Linked DNA regions of Arabidopsis thaliana. The protein of the gene in region 4 interacts with the protein of the main gene of each other region in a pairwise test. Each region holds a gene or a part of one and is shown on either strand. Other genes may lie near its edges. The genes, in order: AT3G50650, PHE1, AGL90 and AT4G36590.

Evidence for each region.
Region 1: the proteins of AT4G36590 (region 4) and AT3G50650 interact in a two-hybrid assay, tested with the Arabidopsis thaliana proteins (one large-scale study listed by BioGRID).
Region 2: the proteins of AT4G36590 (region 4) and PHE1 interact in a two-hybrid assay, tested with the Arabidopsis thaliana proteins (one large-scale study listed by BioGRID).
Region 3: the proteins of AT4G36590 (region 4) and AGL90 interact in a two-hybrid assay, tested with the Arabidopsis thaliana proteins (one large-scale study listed by BioGRID).

Annotation. Positions count from the first base shown.
Region 1 is NC_003074.8:18,804,915-18,811,116, forward strand, and holds AT3G50650 (GRAS family transcription factor), read right to left. Parts: upstream 3,330-6,202; 5' UTR 3,187-3,329; coding exon 1,558-3,186; 3' UTR 1,225-1,557; downstream 1-1,224. UniProt on the Arabidopsis thaliana protein: Probable transcription factor involved in plant development. Involved in environmental abiotic stress resistance. May increase the expression of stress-responsive genes. Binds DNA in vitro.
Region 2 is NC_003070.9:24,265,202-24,270,282, reverse strand, and holds PHE1 (MADS-box transcription factor family protein), read left to right. Parts: upstream 1-2,946; 5' UTR 2,947-2,962; coding exon 2,963-3,802; 3' UTR 3,803-4,026; downstream 4,027-5,081. Other genes in the region: CYP96A3 (cytochrome P450, family 96, subfamily A, polypeptide 3), read left to right, coding at 637-2,148. UniProt on the Arabidopsis thaliana protein: Probable transcription factor involved in the development of gametophytes and seeds.
Region 3 is NC_003076.8:9,990,174-9,995,071, reverse strand, and holds AGL90 (AGAMOUS-like 90), read left to right. Parts: upstream 1-2,301; coding exon 2,302-2,958; intron 2,959-3,081; coding exon 3,082-3,387; downstream 3,388-4,898. UniProt on the Arabidopsis thaliana protein: Probable transcription factor.
Region 4 is NC_003075.7:17,259,621-17,264,968, forward strand, and holds AT4G36590 (MADS-box transcription factor family protein), read right to left. Parts: upstream 2,608-5,348; 5' UTR 2,570-2,607; coding exon 2,237-2,569; intron 1,940-2,236; coding exon 1,526-1,939; 3' UTR 1,317-1,525; downstream 1-1,316. Other genes in the region: AT4G36580 (AAA-type ATPase family protein), read left to right, coding at 1-150, 230-378, 510-1,041; AT4G36600 (Late embryogenesis abundant (LEA) protein), read left to right, coding at 4,028-4,260, 4,502-5,348.

The DNA.
Region 1 (6,202 bases), on a different chromosome or scaffold from region 4:
GTGAGAAACTATCCATTTGTCCTCTGTTATTTCTTGTTCTATTGCTTACCATCAAACATACTACTAACTCAGTGATATGTCGACAAATATGGGCATAAAATGTTGTATTAATATCTATTTACATATGAGGTAACGTGCAGTCAAAGGACCAAGGTTGTCAATCATGTGCTTGGAAGTTCCATTGAACATTGTTTATCCCACACGTCGTCGTGATGCGACTCCGCTCATGAATGATTGGTCAAAAAAACAGTTTCATCTCATTATAGGAAAATATCAACGCATCATTGCTTGAACCTTTTTTCTTAGAGAAACCGGTAAACATTATTTCATGGCTTGCAATTTCATCGTCTAAGTTGAATTTCATATCATACATAGTCTGCTCGATATCCAAAGGTGTTAGTTTCCACCAATACTTTAGTTATTTGTAAATGAAACGATTTACTTTTAATTTTATGATGTATGTGAAGTTTAGAAGTTTCTAACTCAAAATCAATTAGTTATAAATGGATTGATCTATATATTACTTTATAGTCTATATCATTTTCGATTTCTAATTCAAAAGCACTTAAAATGAGTGGATTAGATCATTTTTTTTTTAATTTTTATTTCAGGTATCATCACACTTATAGATGTTGGATTCCTAACCATGATTTTCTAAAAAATGAAAAATCAAGCTGGCAAATTGTAAGCAATTAGCTGTGAAGAGTCAAGACTTGGTTGGGTTATTTGCAAAATACTTCTATGTATTGTTTTTGTTTGTGGCTAATATAAATAAAGGAATGGGACAGAGATTAGGCCTGTTTATTTTGGGCCAAGCATAAACAGAGTGGGCTTTTATCTTCGTTAGGGAAGTAAAATTTACTATCAGACTCACAGACAGAGTCAGAGTAGTGGCTGAGAGATATAGGAAATGGGGACCAAAAGACCACTGAAGAAGAAATTCGAGAGTTGACGTCATAGTGGCACGTTTGAAGTTCGAACAAAGAGAAACAAGACTGACACAGAAAGATTGAAATACTTGTCAGTGCGCCTTCGTATTTTTGGCTTTTACTTCACTGACAAATAATTATGCTCCTATTTTATTATTCAGTGAATGGTACAGAAAACATTGGTATATAATTTTCATGAAGTAAACAAAACTATATTAGGCAAGAAAAAGTGGAGACAAAATGATGAAAAGGGAGAAGAAATGGTGTGTTAGTGAAAGATCTTAGTGCAATTCAAATTTCAGTCTCTTTTATGGGACCATAATACTCTCATTTCAAAATCAAACTTCATCACCTCCTTTCCTCAATTTCAGGGGTTAATTCTAGTGTTTTTTTCATTCACATGAATTTGGTTTAGCTTCTTTCGTTTATACCAAAGAAATCTAGTCAAATGTTACATACAATATATATTACAAATGAACATAAACGACAAACCATCATCACTCCAAGCACTAGATAAAAAAGAGTAAGAGAATAGGCTAGAGACTAATTAAACATCCAAATCTAACCCCAAACAATTCAATTCTAAAAGCTAACTCAAAATACTAGATTAACTTATCGGACCAAGTAGTCAACGCCAAGAGGAAACGGTGAGGAGAGGCACATTGTTCCAAGCCAAGGAGATGAAACCTGGCTCCGATTCAACAAGTGAATACAATGTACTATAATTGTAGTTCCATAGTAGCAGCTTCGCTTGGCTAACCGCGTAATTACTCGGTTTAACCGGCTCAAATCCAGCTTTCTCCATCAACACTCTCCATTGTTCTTTCTCCTCCATTAACCCAAACCGGGTTCCCGGTTTATTATTATCATCATCTGATCGGACCAAATCCATAATCCTCCTACCGAACAACACTCTCTCCACTCTCAGCCTTTCTTTCGAATCTCGATCCAAATTCGGTTCAAGCGATTCAAAAACCGCGGAATAAAACCGGAGAGAGTTCTTAACCCGGTTAGCAAATTCAACCCGGTTTAAACTGACTTCGTATTCTCCAAGCGTCACAATCCTCGGGTTTAACGATCTAGCTAACCGGAGCGCCGTACCAACAGTCGTCGCTGTTTCATCTAGAAGCTTATAAAGCTCAAGCATAAAATTCACAACCAAAACCTCATCCGGGTCAACCCGAAAACTTGACCCGTTTAGTAATTGAATCGGAGTCAGAACCGGATAAAACTCGAAATTGAGATCCAAAATCGCCGCGAAATCACGGAGACGGTTTCCCGTAGCGATCAGAGACGGTCCCGGTGAGTCTCCTAGAGACGGAGCGGGTATACCCGAAATCCGGATCCGGGTGGGTTTACCAGAAGAACGGGTCGCTAAAGCTTGTAACAGAGCAGACCATTGAATACCTTGAAAAATCCCGAAATCGACTATGTGAATGTTGTTTGATTGATTCGTAGCTTCGAGAATTGCTTGATTCGCTGTTAAATGAGCGAACTTTGAATATGGACATGCGTCGTTTAAGGTTTTGTATGAGAGAATGAAATCTTCTAGGGATGACGACGACGATGACGACGGAGACTCTGTTTCTTTATGAGACAGAGCTTCTGCGAAGTAATACCCGACTCGTTGTATCGGGTCGCCTGATTCGGACACGGATTCTTTGATCCGAATTAGTGTGTCCGGTTTAGTTTCCGGTTTACGTGCATAATCGTGGATAGCTTTAAAAATCGGCTGGTTTAGATCAAAATCCGGCTGCGGCGGGGGAGGAGGAGGATGTTGTGGTGATGGCGGAGATGGAGACCATATAGCGGTGGAAGCTGGTGGCGGAGGGAGTTGTTGACTCGCTGAGTCATCTTTGTTGACTCGGTTGAGATATGAAGGAGCACTGAGTCGACTCGGGAATGAGACGAATGGATCATGGCCGTAGATTGGGAAGTCTGGATTGGTTTGTGACGCATCTCCACCGTTGATCAAACTCTCCATCCACTCGTCGGAGTCAAACTCCTCGGAAGCGACGGCTGCGTTTTGATGATGCTCCAGGTGTGGAAAGTGAAAACCTGGGTCGTTGGTTACTTGAAACGGGTCGGAGAAACCCGAACCGGGAAGAGTAAACCCGAAGGATGGATTGGGCCAGGGGTTGGGTTCTTGTTCTTGTTCTTCTTGTTGTTGATGTTGTGATTGTTGTTGCTGCTTCTGTTTGATGAGTTGTTGTGCTATAGCCATTAAGTTTCCGCTGTCGGTGCACATATACGCCATTCTCCGACTCACTTTCGCCGGCGATGAAGGCGTTTTTTTGTCTGTTATTTGGTGGTGATTGAGTAAGGCCCAGAGAGAGAGAGGGATATGAATGAAACCGGAGAGATTTTAGTAGGAAGAAAAAAGTAAGAAAGTGAGTATTTTCATTTTGATTTATCATTTTCTTTTTTTTTGTCATCCGATTTATCATTTTCGAGTACTGTATTTTTAATCAATTACCACTTTAGTTTAAAAGTACAAAATTACGTTATTAACTGCAAGAAATGAAGAAACTATAAAACCAACAACAACAACAAAAAATGAAGAAACTAACTAACATAGTTTACTAAAAAACTCAGTTTTGTATTTAATTATTTTCAAGAATTTAATAATAGAAATGTAATTTATCAAAATATCAATTGAATAATTTCTATATCTCATGAATTTGTAGTTTCGTATAATCTTACAAATTTATTCAGAAACCTTTTGACCAAAAAATAAAAAATACATAGGTTTTTTTTTGTTAAATAATTATTACCACTCTGTTAATATGGGTAAAAAAAAGAGTTGACGTTATGAAAAAAAAGAGAGAGTAAAACGATATCTCACTTATGGGACCCACAGACACGATGACGTCATGTATCGGCAGTTACGTATCGAAGAGTGTGACCTCATCTCCACCGTCTAGAATCAGATCAATGGCTTTGGCTGAAATGGTGAATGTGACACGTCGACAACTGTCTTCTGCTACTTGTCACCTGCATGTCGCCTGCAACTTTTCTGTCTTTTTTCATTTTAACTAACAGTATTATAAAGGTAAAAAGATTGATGTAAGAAAAGTAAAAAGAATTAGGTTATTATCTTCTGCTTTCAAGCCGCAAAGGTCAAGGTTTTTCAAAGCTGTTTCTTATCAACTAAAAGGGTCGTTAAATTGGACTTTGGTTAACAAATTTCAGTGACTTCATTGGTTTAGTTTCAGTTACTTTTGTAAAAAAACCTTTCGACAAGTTAAGCTAACATCTTGAATATGACTTGAGCAAGCAAAAATTAAACAATAGACATGTTTTATTTGTATACGCATGTCTTTTTTATCTCAACGTTAGTGTTGTGGAGGACGGCTTGTGGGTCCGTAAGTAGGCCCATATACAATGGAGCAAAAGCGATTTGTGGCGGGCTCTACTAGTATCTGTTGTTGGTGGACGAACTTTGACGAAGAAAATGTAGTAGCCATTAGCCAAAAGCTAAAAATTACACAAAAATACCAAAAAAAAAACACAAGCAAAGAAGAAACAAGAAAAGAGTCCAAAGAGGATTATAGAATTTAAAAGTCTTTCAATAACAAACCAAGTTTTATGAATTATCATTCATACACGACGCATAGTTCGAGAATTTGCTTATTTGAGGTTTGAGTGTGGAAGCTCTTTGTGACTTTGCAATTTCTAAAAACCTAAAGCGAATGAAATAGAAAAGAGCAATAGCGAACAAAAAGCACATGGGAACGACACTTGACTCTTTGAGACATCACTCTTTTCATTTCATCGTTGTATCCGCGTCAAAAGGCCTACTTCTCCACTACTTATAACTTAAATATCTAAATTACATTACTAAACATGGTATATGGTCCCTGGCCCAAGTCTACTTTTGATTTTCACTTTTGACATTTTTTACTACAAAGTGCCATGGACTGTTCTAAATTGGTAATGATTTCAACAAGGAGAATGAAGAAGATGATATTTTTGAAAAGGACTTGTCTTTGAAAATGGCAATCCCACTTTAGTGTTTAACCATTGCACCTATCTGCAAGTGGACTTGGAGAAAATAGATAGAGAGAGAGAGAGAATGAGTGGTGTATGAAAAGGACATGAGTAAGAATGAAAGGGTTTGATTTGTCTTTTCTTTCTATCCAAGTCATCGGTGGGGTTTCTTATGTATGAACAAAGAGTGGCATTGAGTCATCCCCAAGAAAGTCTCTCTATATATTTACCATTTTTGTCACATTCTTTGCTTTTTTTTTTAAATACTAATTTTTAGTTTCAACTCTTACCAACTAAAATTTACCTATTTTTGTCTCCTCCTTAGCTTTTTACACTTATTTTCGTTTGAACCTTTAATTAACCAAAATATATTTACTATTTGAATCAGTTAAACAGAAATTATTAAGTCAGTAAGAAAAATATATATTTGGTGACGATTATCTCATACAAAACAGAAAGAGACTTTTCAAATGACAAGTGGCCTGTCCAAACACTAAACTTTTGTACCTTTTATTGACCAGCTAACTCACTTTCTCATCCAAATTTTAGTTAGTTAAAACAAAAAAATCTCAATGCTTTTCCTCGTTTTCTGAATATTATTCGGCTAACCAGAAAAGAAAAAAAATACTTGCGGGCCAAACCACGAAAATCAATAAACAAGGGCTTTTGGTTGGTAAGTCTCGATTTCATCACCGAGGGTGTTCATGTGAATAAACCTATACTTCAAAATATCGAACCATTTCGTCTTTCCAATATCTGCAAAATTAGAGACAATCAATCAAATTCAAAGCCATATTGTTGTTAACAAAAGAGCAGTATGATGAACAATTGAACATCAATATAATTTATGAATTATCTAAATCTTCTCATTTGGATGATTTCAGATCAAGTAAAAACTTTATGGGCCGTAATTATCCAACAATATGATGGGCCGACCTAATCGAGGAACACGGGGACTAGTTGGCGTAATCAGCCTCCAAATATTTGGAGGCTTCTGTTTTTGTTTTATTTAATCATATTTTATTTCACTGTAAATAAATGGATAATACAGTGTGTTAATCAACCATATGTCTATCTGCACTGTTTTTTTTTTTCTTTTTTCTTGGCATTTTAATTAATTACAATTATATAATTTTTGGTAAAGTACAATTAGATAATTTAACGTGTCACCTGATTACGTATTTAAACCCTAACTCAACCACAGATTTTTTTTTATCACTCTCTAATTGTCTCGATCAATCCGTCAAAACCATGTATTACGAGGGAGAAGATTTCAGCGGTAA
Region 2 (5,081 bases), on a different chromosome or scaffold from region 4:
AAGACTTTAAAATAGTAGAAAAGCTTGAAATAAAAAAATAAAAAATGGTCAAAAGTTTTGTTGGATTTTGTTTAGATTACCATATCATTTGTTATAAAATTTCATTCAATAATAGAAAACCAAATGACATCACGTATCGTTGAATATACACTTCTACGTATTTAACAAAATGATTAATGATTCACTTTCAATGAACCCAAATGTTTTTTAAAATCCGATAAAACTTTAAACCTAAGATATAAACTTTAGAAAAAGACTTATGAAATATAAACCCAAACTAACCCATAACACCACCTAAAATATTCTGATTAGAAAAAGACTTATGGGTGGGGACATCAATGTAAACTTTCATAATTTGCAGAAATCTTACAAAATTTACTCGAGGCATTTATTACAAAATATGGTTCCGCCTCTGCGCATACACTATACATAAAATTGGAAAAAAAAGTTTTAACGGATAATATGATTTAATGTCGTTACACATCCCAATGCAACGGATCGAAATAGAATGCATGTGTTTATTCATTTCATTTCGTATATGATATCGTAAGGGAGTTCATATACTCACTAACAAGACAAAACATTTCTTGACCAAAAGAAAAAAAAGATTTCTTGAATAAACATTTTGTTACTATAATGGCGATAGTCATAGGTTTACTTGAAATCTTCACAGCATTTGTTTTCTTCATTTTCTTCCAATGTTTATTACTCCACAAGAAAACTCCCAAGCCTTTGCTCACGAACTGGCCGGCCCTTGGGATGCTTCCGGGTCTACTCCTCCAAGTGCCTCGTATCTACGACTGGATCACCGAGGTTCTTGAGGCGACAGATATGACGTTTTGTTTCAAAGGTCCATGTCTTAGCGGAATGGACATCTTGCTTACTGTTGATCCGGTGAATATCCACTACATTCTAAGCTCAAATTTTGCTAACTACCCCAAAGGAATGGAGTTCAAGAAGATCTTCGAAGTCGTGGGTGATTCAATTTTCAACGTTGACTCGGGTTTGTGGGAGGATATGAGGAACTCGTCTCATGCCATTTTTAGTAATCAAGATTTCCAAATGTTCTGGGTGAGTACAAGTGTAAGAAAATTAAGGCAAGGGCTTGTTCCTATTCTTGAAAACGCAGCTGATAAAAATATCCTTGTCGACTTGCAAGATTTGTTCCAGAGATTCTTGTTTGATACATCTTTGATTTTGATGACCGGGTATGATCCAAAATGTTTATCCGTTGAAATGCCTAAGGTTGAGTTCGGTGACGCGGTCGATGGTGTTTCTGACGGGGTTTTCTATAGACATGTTAAGCCGGTTTTCTTGTGGAGGCTCCAATATTTGATTGGTGTAGGAGTAGAGAAAAGATTGAAAAGAGGTCTAGCGGTATTCGATCAACTACTCGAGAAGATCATAACGGCTAAACGAGAGGAGATCAATAGTCATGGGACTCATCATCCCTCAAGAGGAGAGGCCATAGACGTGTTGACATACTACATGACTATGGACACGACCAAATATAAGTACTTGGAACCAAGTGATGATAGATTCATCAAAGACACTATTTTGGGTTTCTTGATAGCGGCAAGAGATACAACAAGTTCAGCACTCACTTGGTTCTTCTGGCTTATGTCCAAGAACCCTGAGGCAATAAACAAGATCCGACAAGAGGTTAACAAGAAGATGCCGAGGTTTGATCCCGCAGATTTAGAAAAGCTCGTGTATCTACACGGTGCCGTGTGTGAGACGCTAAGGTTATACCCACCAGTTCCATTTAACCACAAGTCACCGGCAAAGCCAGACGTACTTCCAAGTGGGCATAGAGTAGATGAGAAATGGAAGATTGTCATATCTATGTATGCATTAGGGAGGATGAAATCTGTTTGGGGAGATGACGCAGAAGATTTCAGACCAGAGAGATGGATTTCAGACAGTGGAAGGTTAAAACATGAACCTTCATATAAGTTCTTGGCGTTTAACGCCGGTCCAAGAGCTTGCTTGGGGAAAAAGTTAACGTTCTTACAGATGAAGACAGTGGCTGCGGAAATCATACGAAACTATGACATCAAGGTCGTTGAAGGGCACAAAACCGAACCAGTTCCTTCTGTTCTTTTTCGTATGCAACATGGTCTCAAAGTTAATATCACTAGGATCTAGTGATAGTTTTTGTATTTTTTTTGCTGTTAAAGATTTCAATAAAACATGCATGTTTACTCATGCTTAGACTTATTTTGCAAACACGTCTTTAATTTGTATCAGTCATTTGCCTTATAAGAGTCTCTATTTCATAATAACATCACGGTTTTACAATAGCATGTGCTCACATTTTGTGGTCTTTAGAATCTGATGTTTAGTTACTAATATTTTTTTTGGCAGCTATGGTTTGTATTATTGGACCCTTCCCCACAGTTATAACACCCAAAATCGATAACACACATAATAGCATGTGTCTTAACGAAACAAAAAAAATAAAATAACATTACTTTCACTGTTTAGCCATAACATTACTTTCTATCCAACTGATATTACATGTATTTTAAATTATTTATTAATTATGTTTATATAAACTATTAACATATAGAAAAAATTTAGAGATTGAAGAAATATCTTAAATTACCTTTGATGTAATTTGTTTTCCTTTCAATGGACTTCCTAAATAAAGTATAAATCTCATTAGATATGTGATACAACTGTTTTCCTATATATCTTGTTTTTATATATGCCCCCCAAAAGGTAAAATATCTATATGGGCTGTCTCTAAAGATAAATGATTATCACTTTACCATCAATCACATGCCTACACGTAAGGGTGAAACTAATACAAATCCTGAAAAATTAGTAAAATAAAAAATCAATTAATCATATCCAGCAAAGCAATAAAAAATCTATTGACTCGAAAATTGACTATATAAACCATCCTCCTCATGCTAACAAGACAAAGCAAAATACACAAAAGAAAAAGATAAGAGATATGAGGGGGAAGATGAAGTTATCGTTCATAGAAAATGATTCAGTGAGGAAAACAACATTCACCAAAAGGAAGAAAGGGATGCTGAAGAAATTCAACGAGCTAGTAACTCTATGTGGTGTTGACGCATGTGCGGTCATCCGTAGCCCGTACAACTCGATCCAGGAGCCTTGGCCATCAAGGGAAGGCGTTGAAGAAGTGATGTCGAAGTTTATGGAGTTTTCGGTGTTGGACCGGACCAAGAAGATGGTGGATCAAGAGACGTTTTTACGTCAAAGGATCGCCAAAGAAACAGAACGTCTCCAGAAGCTACGTGATGAGAACCGTAATTCTCAGATTCGAGATTTAATGTTTGGTTGTCTCAAAGGAGAGGTGGACGTGTCTCATCTTCATGGAAGAGATCTTCTTGATTTGAATGTATTTCTTAACAAGTATCTCAATGGTGTTATTCGTAGGGTTGAGATCCTTAAGGAGAACGGTGAGTCTTCTTCATCTGTACCTCCTCCTATTGGTGTAGCTCCTACTGTTGTGGATGCATCTGTCCCAATCGGTTTTGATGGTCGTATGATTCAAGATCAAAACCAAAATCAGCAAGAGCCGGTTCAATTCCAATACCAGGCTCTTTATGATTTTTATGATCAGATTCCAAAGAAACTTCATGATTTTAACATGAAAATGAATATAGATCCAAATCAGAGTATGAATTTGGATCTTAATGATGGAGAGGACGAGGGCATTCCTTGCATGGACAACAACAACTACCACCCCGAAATCGATTGTCTCGCTACCGTCACCACTGCCCCCACTGATGTTTGTGCTCCTAACATCATCAATGATCTCTAGTCGAAGGGATGTATTTCGAGTGAAGTGGTTGATCATCTGCATCTTTTGATTTTTCCATTTCAGAAAATAAAATTTATGTGATGTTTTTTTTTATTATTGTACTACAGTTAAAGGTTTTGCCTTTAAGTTCATTTCCGTTGATGTATTTGCCTGAAAAGGTTTAGTTCAATTTGAATAATTTTAATCATTACAAAATAAAGAGTTTTCAGTATCTTTAGAAGAAACAAATCTTTAGATATGATGTCATTAAAAACCCTATAATATCTAAAATAGCTTTGATTAAGTCAACTTTCTTTGTTTTGCCTATATATATGCTATGGCTATGTCATGTTTTCGTCTTACTTATATTTGAACTAAAATGATTATGAATGTTATTGCCATATTTTTGTTGGATTCAAATGTTGATCACAAAAAAGAAAGGATTTCAATTTTGTGTACCATGCTATTTCAAGATGTTTCTAGCAAATTCTCAACTACGTAGTTTAGGTGACCACTTGTGAGACCTTTGCATACTTTGGCACACATAATTTTCTAATGCATACCTCATCTATGAGTCGAGAAGACGTCCCATGGGAATAAAAAAATCGAAGACAAAAGTACATATATAGTGCTGACCATTGTGGATCTCCTGATGTACATACTCAGCCGTAATTGGTTTTAACTTCAGTAGCTTCTGCCACGTTTTGGAACCTAGAGTAGAATCCTTACCATCCTAACAGATAATATATTGTCGGAACCGCCCATAATAAACCCCCACGAAGTTAGTAGTTTCCAAATTAAGCTTAAGCTAAACAACCGTGACACATGAATACGTTGGAAATGAAGCCCTCATTCCTTTTTAGGAATACACGCTTCTTTCAACATATTGGCACGCTTGTGGAAAAAAACATAGAATAGTAGAAAACCTAGCAAGATACGGCCATAAAAGAAATTAAGGAATCTTAAAAATCTCTTCTTTCACATTGTTTCCACACTTCCCCTGCTTTGTTGTTTCAGAATTGAGACACGTTGTACAAGATTTTTGGATCAAAAGACTCGCAAATATAGTTAAGTTTATTTATGACACCTAAATTCTAGTCCAACAAGAATTTGCGTGATCGCAAATTTTGATAAATTTGTGTGCTTGTATTATCTATTTTATCCAACGGAAAAAGATTCTTGATAAATAATATCTATCGTTTTCGAAAAACTTTGTTTTTCATCACTGAGTTTTTAACATCGAATGCATTAATTTCATGGAATGCTTTTTTATCCCAACATGATAGAATTGTAATTTATT
Region 3 (4,898 bases), on a different chromosome or scaffold from region 4:
TGTGGGTTCCAAAGCTATAATTGGATCATATTTTCTTACCAATTCTCTCATGTCTACATAAAGCTATTTATTTTAGGGATATAAATAAGATAAAAAAATATGGTAATGCCAGCTAAATTACTCTTCATTATTAGCTGGTAAAATTTATTTCTAAAAGTGCAATAAAAAATATATAATATCTGGTCAATGCCCCAAAAGGTATAATATCCACATGATTTTATAAATTATAATTTTATATCCAATCATGTTTATACATGTGTACCTGCATTAATATCCATTTGAATGTAAAAAATAATAAAAAAAGCAAAAATCATATTACTGTATTAAACTCTTGATTTTACCCAAATTATGCATATATTTTCTAAATGTAAATAATTTTCATAAATAATTTTTTTATATGTCATTATTAATAAATAAATAAATAAATACATGTAGTCATATTAATGTATTAAACTCTTGATTTTATCCTTATATGTAGTCCATTTTTAAAAATACTCATTCTCTTGAGCAAAAATACCAAATTACTCTCATCTAATGAGAACAAGTAATTTATAAACTGAAATTTTCCCGCTAAAAGTTTTTTTTCCCGCCAAAGTTTTTTCTCTGTAACAAATTTTTTTCCAGCTAAAAACATGCATTTAAAAATCCTTATAAAGTGTTTTAAAAGCTTTGTAAATTTGTTAAAAACCCTTGTGAATCATTTTAAAACCTATTAAAATCTTTATAAAGTTTTTAAATATATATGTAAATACTTAAAAACCCATTTTAAAACCTTTGTTTTACATTTTAAAACCTTTTACAATGATTTTAAAAGATTTACAAGAATTTTTAAAGGATTTAAAAGGATTTTAAAAACATTTGTAAATCTTTTAAAAACCCTTGTAAATCCTTTAAAACCCTTGTAAACAATTTAAAAATCTTTTAAAACCCCTTAATAAATTTTGAACCATTTTAAAACTCTTATGAACCTCTTACAAAATATTTTAAAAACCCTTGTAAGTCCTTTAAAACCCTTGTAAACCATTAAAAATCTTTTCAATTTCTTGTAAACCCTTTAATAATTTTTAAACCATTTTAAAATTCTTTAAAAATATTTTAAAATTCTTTTAAAAATCTTTTTTAATCTTTTAAAAACCCTTGTAAATCTTTTAAAACCTTTTTAAAATGTTTTAAAATCACTTGTAAATCTTTTAAAACCCTTTAAAAATATTTTAAAATCTTTTGTAAATCTTTTAAAAACCTTTTACACTTTATAAAAATCTCTTAAAATCCCTAATCTTTTAAAACTCTTTTACACCTTTTTTAAAAATCTTTTAAAATCCCTTGTAAATCTTTTAAAACCCTTTAAAATCTCATTTCAAAAATCTCTTAAAATCCTTTATAATTTTTTTTTGCGGAAAAAATGTTTTTAAGAAACCTTTTTGGCAGAAAAGTTTTTTTTAAAATTTTTTGGCCGGAAACTTTTGGCGGAAAATTTATTTTCAGAATATTTTTGGCGGGAAAAAATTAATATTTCATTTTTTACTTAAAACATTTTCTAAATAGGGGTAAAATGGTCATTAAAAATTAAGAGAAAGTATAAATGAAAATAACAAATAAGAAAATGCATTATTGAAAAGGATAGTGTTGAAAGGGCATTCATAACAATTATTCAAAGTTTTTGGCGTTTATGTGAGATGTTCTTTGCATATTTTCAAATTGTTTGCCCATTCTAAAAATTTATTTGTATGATTCAAAGTACATCTTTAAATTACTGTAGATAACAAACTTTCTGAAATTTACTTTAGATAACAAACTTTAGAGTAATTTCTAGCTTACCACAATTCTATATACATTGACAATATATTACTGTATTTTAAAAGTACAATCACTTAAAACTATTACAAAACTTCACATTCTAAGAACAAAGTAAGCTAGAAATTATTCTTAGTAAAAAAAAACAATGAGAGTAAGAGAAATTAATTCTTAGTATAAACAAAACTTAGAAATAAAAATATTATATTACATGCCCCCTCATATTACATGGATAGATTTTTTTCTTTTTTTTGTCATCAGATATTATTTAGGATCAGACGAGCCAAACTTTAGATAAGAAAAAATATTTTTATATAGATAATAATGAATTACCTGGTCAATTAATTGATAAGAGATTTCCTGGATGTTATTTAGAATTAATGAGTCCACCAAAGTGATAAGAATCCTAGTGACTATAAAATCATCTTTCTTTGCTATATAAACATTCTTTGAGTAAACAAATTAAACAAACCACACAAAACAAAACAAAAAAACATATTGATGGGGATGAAGAAGGTAAAGCTATCTTTGATAGCTAATGAAAGATCAAGGAAAACATCCTTCATGAAGAGGAAAAACGGGATATTCAAGAAACTCCACGAGTTGTCAACTCTATGTGGTGTCCAAGCTTGTGCTCTCATCTATAGTCCATTCATACCGGTTCCAGAGTCATGGCCGTCAAGGGAAGGTGCTAAAAAGGTAGCTTCAAAGTTTCTGGAGATGCCGCGGACAGCCCGAACCAGGAAGATGATGGATCAAGAAACCCATCTTATGGAGAGGATTACCAAAGCAAAAGAGCAACTAAAGAATTTGGCTGCTGAGAACCGAGAATTACAGGTTAGACGATTTATGTTTGATTGTGTTGAAGGCAAAATGTCCCAGTATCGTTATGATGCAAAAGACCTTCAAGATTTGCTATCTTGTATGAATCTATATCTCGATCAGCTTAACGGAAGGATCGAGTCCATTAAAGAAAACGGTGAGTCGTTGTTGTCTTCCGTCTCTCCTTTTCCTACTAGAATTGGTGTTGACGAAATTGGTGATGAGTCGTTTTCCGACTCTCCTATTCATTCTACAACTAGGGTTGTAGATACTCCTAATGCTACCAATCCTCATGTTCTTGCGGGCGATATGACTCCTTTTCTTGATGCGGACGCAAATGCGGTAACTGCTCCCAGTCGATTTTCTGATCATATTCAATATGAAAATATGAATATGAGTCAAAATCTGCATGAACCGTTTCAACACCTTGTTCCTACTAACGTTTGTGATTTTTATCAAAATCAGAATATGAATCAGGTTCAATACCAGGCTCCTAATAATCTGTTTAATCAGATTCAACGAGAATTCTACAACATAAATTTGAATCTGAATTTGAATCTGAATTCAAATCAGTATCTGAATCAACAACAATCATTCATGAATCCGATGGTGGAACAACATATGAATCATGTTGGAGGGCGTGAAAGCATTCCTTTCGTGGACAGAAACTACTACAACTACAATCAACTACCAGCCGTTGATCTTGCTTCCACCAGTTACATGCCTTCAACCACCGATGTTTATGATCCTTACATCAACAACAATCTCTAATCACAAAAGACGGAGATTTTCTAGTCTAAGTGTTCAGTTGTTTGAATTTGTGTTTTCTTCATTTCGAAAGACAAAAACTAATGTTGTTTATTAATAATGGTTGTAATGGTTAAAGGGTCTCTTTTTAACTTAATTATGTATTTTGATTATTAAGTAATGTTTTGCCCAAAAAAAAAAGATTATTGTGGGAAACTTTAACTGTGGAATTTATTTCGAAAATTTAATGTGTGATTGGTACAATATTTAGACGAAAGTTTTCATTTGAATTCTTTTAGGACCCATACGTAGAGAATAATTGTTTTCCCCAGCAATTTGAAGTAAGAAATATTATTCTTTGAATCAATTATGGATTTACCATTTTTTGGGATGGTATCTGTGGATTTTGCCCTTTTCTGAATAGTTTGTAGATTTTGCCTTTTTCACACTACGAAAATATGATTTAACATGTGTTTTATTCGTTATGTTTGGGTTTAGTCGGTTGTGCTTGTTCTTAGGATTTAATATTTTATATAAACTACGTATTTTTACCAAAAAAATCGGAAATACATACTTTTTTTAATGTTAGAAAATGGCATATCCATAAGATTTTAGTAAAAATGACAATTTCAAAAGATTTCTATGAAAAAATGGCAAAATCAACAATAATCTTTTTTTCTTTTGGAAAAAAATAATTTGATAACAAAATAAAATAAAAAAGAACTACTCTTATTCAATGTTAAAAAAATTGTTAGGCGCTAGTTAGGATTTTGATAGAAGCCTTGAGCCTATAACGATCAGTGCCTAGGTCGATTTTTTTTTAACATTGTTCCCATTCTTTTGGGCTCAAAAAAATGAGGTAGAAAATTTTTTCTTCCAAATTTTGCACCAGTTAGACCCTAAGTCATTTTTAAAAGAAAAAAAGTGTGGGTAGTTTTTAGTCTTTCAATTATAATAAAAATGTATAACTATATAGATAATATTAGAGATCTGTGTAAATCACCTAAATACTGTTTTAGGAAAAATAAAACTTTTGATAAGAAAAAAACTTGCAAAAAATACATCTACACACCATCACAACATTGATTACAGTATATATGTGTATGTGATAATATTCAGCATAAAATCTAACTGTTTTTTTAATGTCAAAACAAAATTATCATTAGTCTTTTATATAGTCTGCTCCTGCATATTGTGAAGATTTAGTTTTAAGGGTTTTCATTACATATTTGTTGGCTTGTGCAAATATTAATCATCTGGTGTTATTTTAAATTATGTTGAAAAATCGAGGGTGATAATTTGATAAAATTTTGTTTGTATTTTGTAATAAAACTGTATATATAAAGCAATCGCTTCTTCATCAAATCTACCATGAATGATTCTTTTTTTTTTCCTCCTCTTTGTTGATTGATTCTTTCATATTTGTTTTTAGGTTTACTTTGTTTCTATCTCAGCAAAAAAGCATTACCTTAAGTTTAGACTGTAATCTGTTGATTTATTAATCAAAGCGACTTTTTTTTTTTTGCTTTCTGGGT
Region 4 (5,348 bases):
CTCCATACTTCTTTGAAGAAACGAATCGAGCGTCTCGCTAGAGCTACAGCAAACACCAAATCCCATCAAGCACCATTCCGCAACATGATGTTTTATGGACCTCCTGGTACCGGTAAAACTATGGTGGCAAGGGAAATAGCTCGGAAATCGGTGAGTTATTATCAAAACTATGGTAGTAGCTTTGTTAGTACCGTCTTCATGAGTTCTTAGATACAATTATTTGTTGCAGGGTCTGGATTATGCTATGATGACAGGAGGTGATGTTGCTCCCTTGGGATCACAAGCTGTTACTAAAATCCATCAGATATTTGATTGGGCTAAGAAATCGAACAAAGGCTTACTTCTTTTCATTGATGAAGCCGATGCTTTTCTATGCGAGTAAGATCTCCTTCTCTTCTTTACAAGGATTAGTGGATGTTTTAGCGTTTTAGGTTTTTGACAGTAATATGACAAAAAGATTGCAACTTTTTCTCTTGGTTTCAAGAAAGATGATTCCTTTTTCTTTGCAGGCGTAACAGCACTTACATGAGTGAGGCTCAACGTAGTGCTCTGAACGCTTTGCTCTTCCGAACTGGTGATCAATCTCGGGACATTGTTCTTGTCTTGGCTACAAACAGACGTGGAGATCTCGATAGTGCGGTTACAGACAGGATTGATGAAGTCATTGAGTTCCCACTTCCAGGGGAAGAAGAACGTTTCAAGCTTCTCAATCTCTATCTCAACAAATATCTAAAGATGGGTGATAACAACGAAGACACAAAACCGAAATGGAGTCATTTGTTTAAGAAGCTGTCACAGAAGATTACCGTTGAAGAAGACTTAACTGATAAAGTGATTTCTGAGGCTGCAAAGAAGACAGAAGGATTCTCTGGCCGTGAGATTGCAAAGCTTGTGGCTGGAGTACAAGCTGGAGTGTACGGACGAGCGGATTGTGTTTTGGATTCACAGCTTTTTAAAGAGATTGTTGAATATAAGGTTGAAGAACATCACCGAAGGCATATGCTTGCTTCTGAAGGTTTTCAGCCATTACTCTTCTCTTAGTCATTTGGATTTTGATTATACATGTCATTTACTTGATCAGAAAGAAGAATCTGATTGTTTTAAAATGAGTCCTAAAATTGAATTTTTAGATTAAACATGTTAAAGAGTTTTACAGAATCTTGAAGTCTTACATATGAACACTTCTCGTTGTTAACATTAGATTCATTTCTGTCTGATGAGGGTTTCTTAAAAAATTGTTTTGTTCATTTGTAAATCTGGTTTGATTTCAGTATATAACATTAAGCTTAAATAGCAAAATAAAAATAAAAATATAAGTAAAATTAAAGGATAAATAAATTTATTCTGGATACAAAAATATCCAAAAACAAAGGAAAACAAACGACGAATAAAATGAAAAACCAACCAACTGAAACAAATTAAAAGAAAAAACAAACTTAAGTCTCACAATACAAGAACAATCCTAACAGTAACCATAGCCAAAATAACGCAAATATTGATTAGGATGTTCTTCTAGCTTCAGACTCTAGCTCTGGTTGAAGTTGTAACTTGACATGTAGTTCATGTTGGATATCGGAACGAGAACTCCATCATTGTTGTATCCAAACATTGGTGGTGTATGATTGGGAAACACCATGTTTGGATTATAGTTGAATGCATTTCTTCTTTGATCAAAAAGATCAATGCCAACATTACCACCACCAATCACGCCAGAACTTTGACCAAAGTAATTCTGCGAAACATTTACTTGAGAATATTGAGACATTTCTCTTACCAGTTTCTTTTTCACATCTTGAAGAGCAGATATCAGCTGGTTGGTTTCATTCATGTCGAGATCTTTCACATCTTTTTCATACCAGTTTCCTACTTGTTCTCTGGATTCTTTCAATAGGTCCAAAACCATTCTCTTCTGTTTCTCCTTTTCCTGGTTTGCCAGCACCTGCAATGAGATTCATTTCATCATGTTGTGAAAAAAACGAGATATGGTTTATATATTTGAACATTTTGAAGAAAACAATCTAACTATGGATACCATTTGATATCTTTAACAATCTAACTATGGATACGATTTGAAAACAATCTAACTATTGATGGTCTCTTTTTCCCTTAACAAATTAAGTTATAGACATAGAATTGGCATATATATATATATATATATATATATATATATATATATATATATATATATATATATATATAATTCTCTTGCATTTTTCTTTAAAACAAAATTGTTTACCTCAGTGAGTATATTGTTGAGATATTGGATATTTCTATCCGGACGGGTTTCAACAAGTTGGAGATTGTTGTTCTGATGATGGACAATGGCAGAATTATGGTTAGGATTCGAAAAGCGATGAATGAGTTCTTGAACACTTGGATGGCCAAAAGAAAACACTTTCCCACCAGGAGAGAACACAATCAACAGAATCTCTGCACCACTTAATGTGCAAAGTTCACTAGCTTTTTTGAAAAGACCGAATCTTCTTTTTGAGAAAGTAACCTGAAGGTTGCTTTCGTTTTCCATTTTTTTCATCTCTATTTTCTGACGACCTTTGGTACTTCTCACCATTTTCTCAAAAATTTGAATAAACAAATGACAAATTTGATGCTAAGAAATAAAATATGTTCTTTATATTTATACAGGTGTATTACATATGGAAATGTAATACATTATAGGTCCATTATAAGTAAACATAATCCTTCAACCCTTAATTTTGCCAAAAAATTAATTTTCCAATTTGAGGAATATTTCATAATTATCTCTGAAATTTCTTAAGGACATAATTATCTCTAAAATTTCTTAAGGATATAAAATTCATGATATTTCAAATGCAATATCATTATATTAGTTGGTAAATGCATAACAGTTTGACAAATGTATGCACCAACTGCCCATGAGAGGCACATTAAAATTTTATGAGCTGTTTGTTAAAATACTTAATCTATATTTTTGGGAAAAATCTTGAACAAAATTATCCATTAAATTATTTGTTTGTATACAGCTAATGCAAGTAATATTTATACAGTAAAACAAAATTTATCTATTTTTGAGATATCACAATCATTACTAGATAAAATATACAGTTGTACTTTACATAATAAAAAAAATTATTAAATGAAATTCAAAAGATTTTGAGTTATGGGCCCAAATTTTTTTAATTTAGATATATACCATTTACTAGATATATTTTTCATAATGATAGTGAGTTATGTTTATTGAAATTAACATTTCTAAGATATAAATAAAATGATTTATACTCAAATATTGTTGATTTTTAACTATCTTTGTTCTTAAATAAAATGTTTGAATATTACAATAATCATTATTGATTCTTATAAATATTTTAAATTATTTTATATAATTGATTTTTTGTGAAAGTTTACACTATCTGACTTATCTTATTAGAAAACTTTGTAATTGTATCGTCAAAACGTTTAAAATTGGTGTCTTCTTCACCTCTCTCACTTTCGGTTGGGCTCATGCTGGGTTTCTTGTTGGGCTTAGTTTTGTTTTTTTATGGTTTAAATCAATTTTCTTGGTTGAACCAAAAAAAAAACAGTTTTCTTTAAAAATGAGATGACAAAAAAAAAACATTGGATTAACTAAGAAAGGTAAAAAAATAAACACTTTCTGATTTACCTTTTTACTGGATTATCCGGTTTGTAACCCTGCTAAGCGCATGGCTTCGGTTTTCTAAACCGGTTATTTTAATCTTTCCAAGTATTGAAACTTCCTCTACGCGACCGGCCACGTGACCTCGGGTCGGGAGACACTAACCCTACAAAATCGAACCACAAGTGGACACGTCGCAAGCACTTCCAGCATAACCGCCTCTTTAATTGCCACGTAAACATCGAATAACCACGTAATCATCGAATAACCACGTGTCTTACAATAACCGCTTATCTAGTGAAAGAAAGGAATGTGATCTCTCCCTCTCTCGCTCATCTATAACTAGAAACTTCCTCCATGAAGATTGGAACCAAGAAACAAAACAAAAAATCGGAATTTTAAAGAATAGGAATAATGGAGAGAAGAACGTTGATGATGATTATGATGCTTACGACGGTGGTGACGCTGACGTGGCAGAAGCAATGCTATGGATGGGGAACGGAGACAGCAGAGGATATGGTTAGAAACGAAGCAGAGCATGCTAAAAACGCAGCCGAGACCGCTAAGAAAATGGCGTCCGATGCGGCTCATGACACAAAGGACAAAACCGCCTCTTGGGCTGGTTGGGTTTCCGACAAAATTTCCACGTAAGCGTTAACTTTTGTTTAGGCATGATCATACTTCTATTTTGGATCTGTGTTGGTTTCTTCTAATGGAACCATCTTCTCATAGTGTTTGATTTCAAATTGTAAACGTAGATCTGAGTTTTGTTTTAAGAGAAATTTGAAATGTATATATATAAACGCATGTTACGCATCATTTGCATTTCAAACTGTGAAGTGATTTAAGAATGATAATATATAGATGATTGATCCAATATTGTAACAGAGGATTGGGAGGCAAGAAAGCTGAGGCAGAAGAAGCGGCTGAATCTGCGAAGAACTACGCTTATGACAAGGCTGGATCCGCCTATGACAATGCGGGTTACGCCAAGGACTTTGCATCAGACAAAGCCGGATCTGCTTACGATAGTGCTCATAACGCAAAACATTATGCTTATGATAAGGCTGGTGATGCAAAAGACATGGCCTACGATAAGACCGGTCAAGCCAAGTACATGGCTTACGACAAAGCAGGATCAGCCTACGAAAAGGCCGGTCAAGCCAAGGACATGGCCTACGACAAGGCGGGTCAAGCTAAAGACATGGCCTACGACAAGGTGGGATCAGCCTACGACAAGGCGGGTCAAGCCAAGGACATGGCCTACGACAAAGCAGGATCAGCATCTGAGAAGGCTGGTCAAGCCAAAGACTTTGCCTATGACAAGGCAGCTCACGCAAAAGACGCTGCCTATAACAAAGCAGAGGATGTGATTAAGATGGCTACGGATACGAGTGGTGAAGCTAAAGATAGTGCGTATGGAACATACGAAAGATTCAAAGAAGGATCTAAGAATGCTAAAGACATTGCATCGGATAAAGCTCACGATGTTAGAGAAACCGCAGGGCGAGCGGTGGACTATGCTAAAGACAAAGCAAATGATGCATACGAATCGGGGAGCGAAGCAGCCGGAAGATTCGACGAGGCAATGCATAAGGTTGGGGAGAGGTATGGTGCAGCTAAGGATTCTATGTCGGAGAACACAAAAGAAGCTTATGAGAGTGCAAAGGAGAAGGCTTCTGATGCTGCTGGTGAGTACGGTTCATATATGAGAGACCGTAGCGCTGAGCTTTAG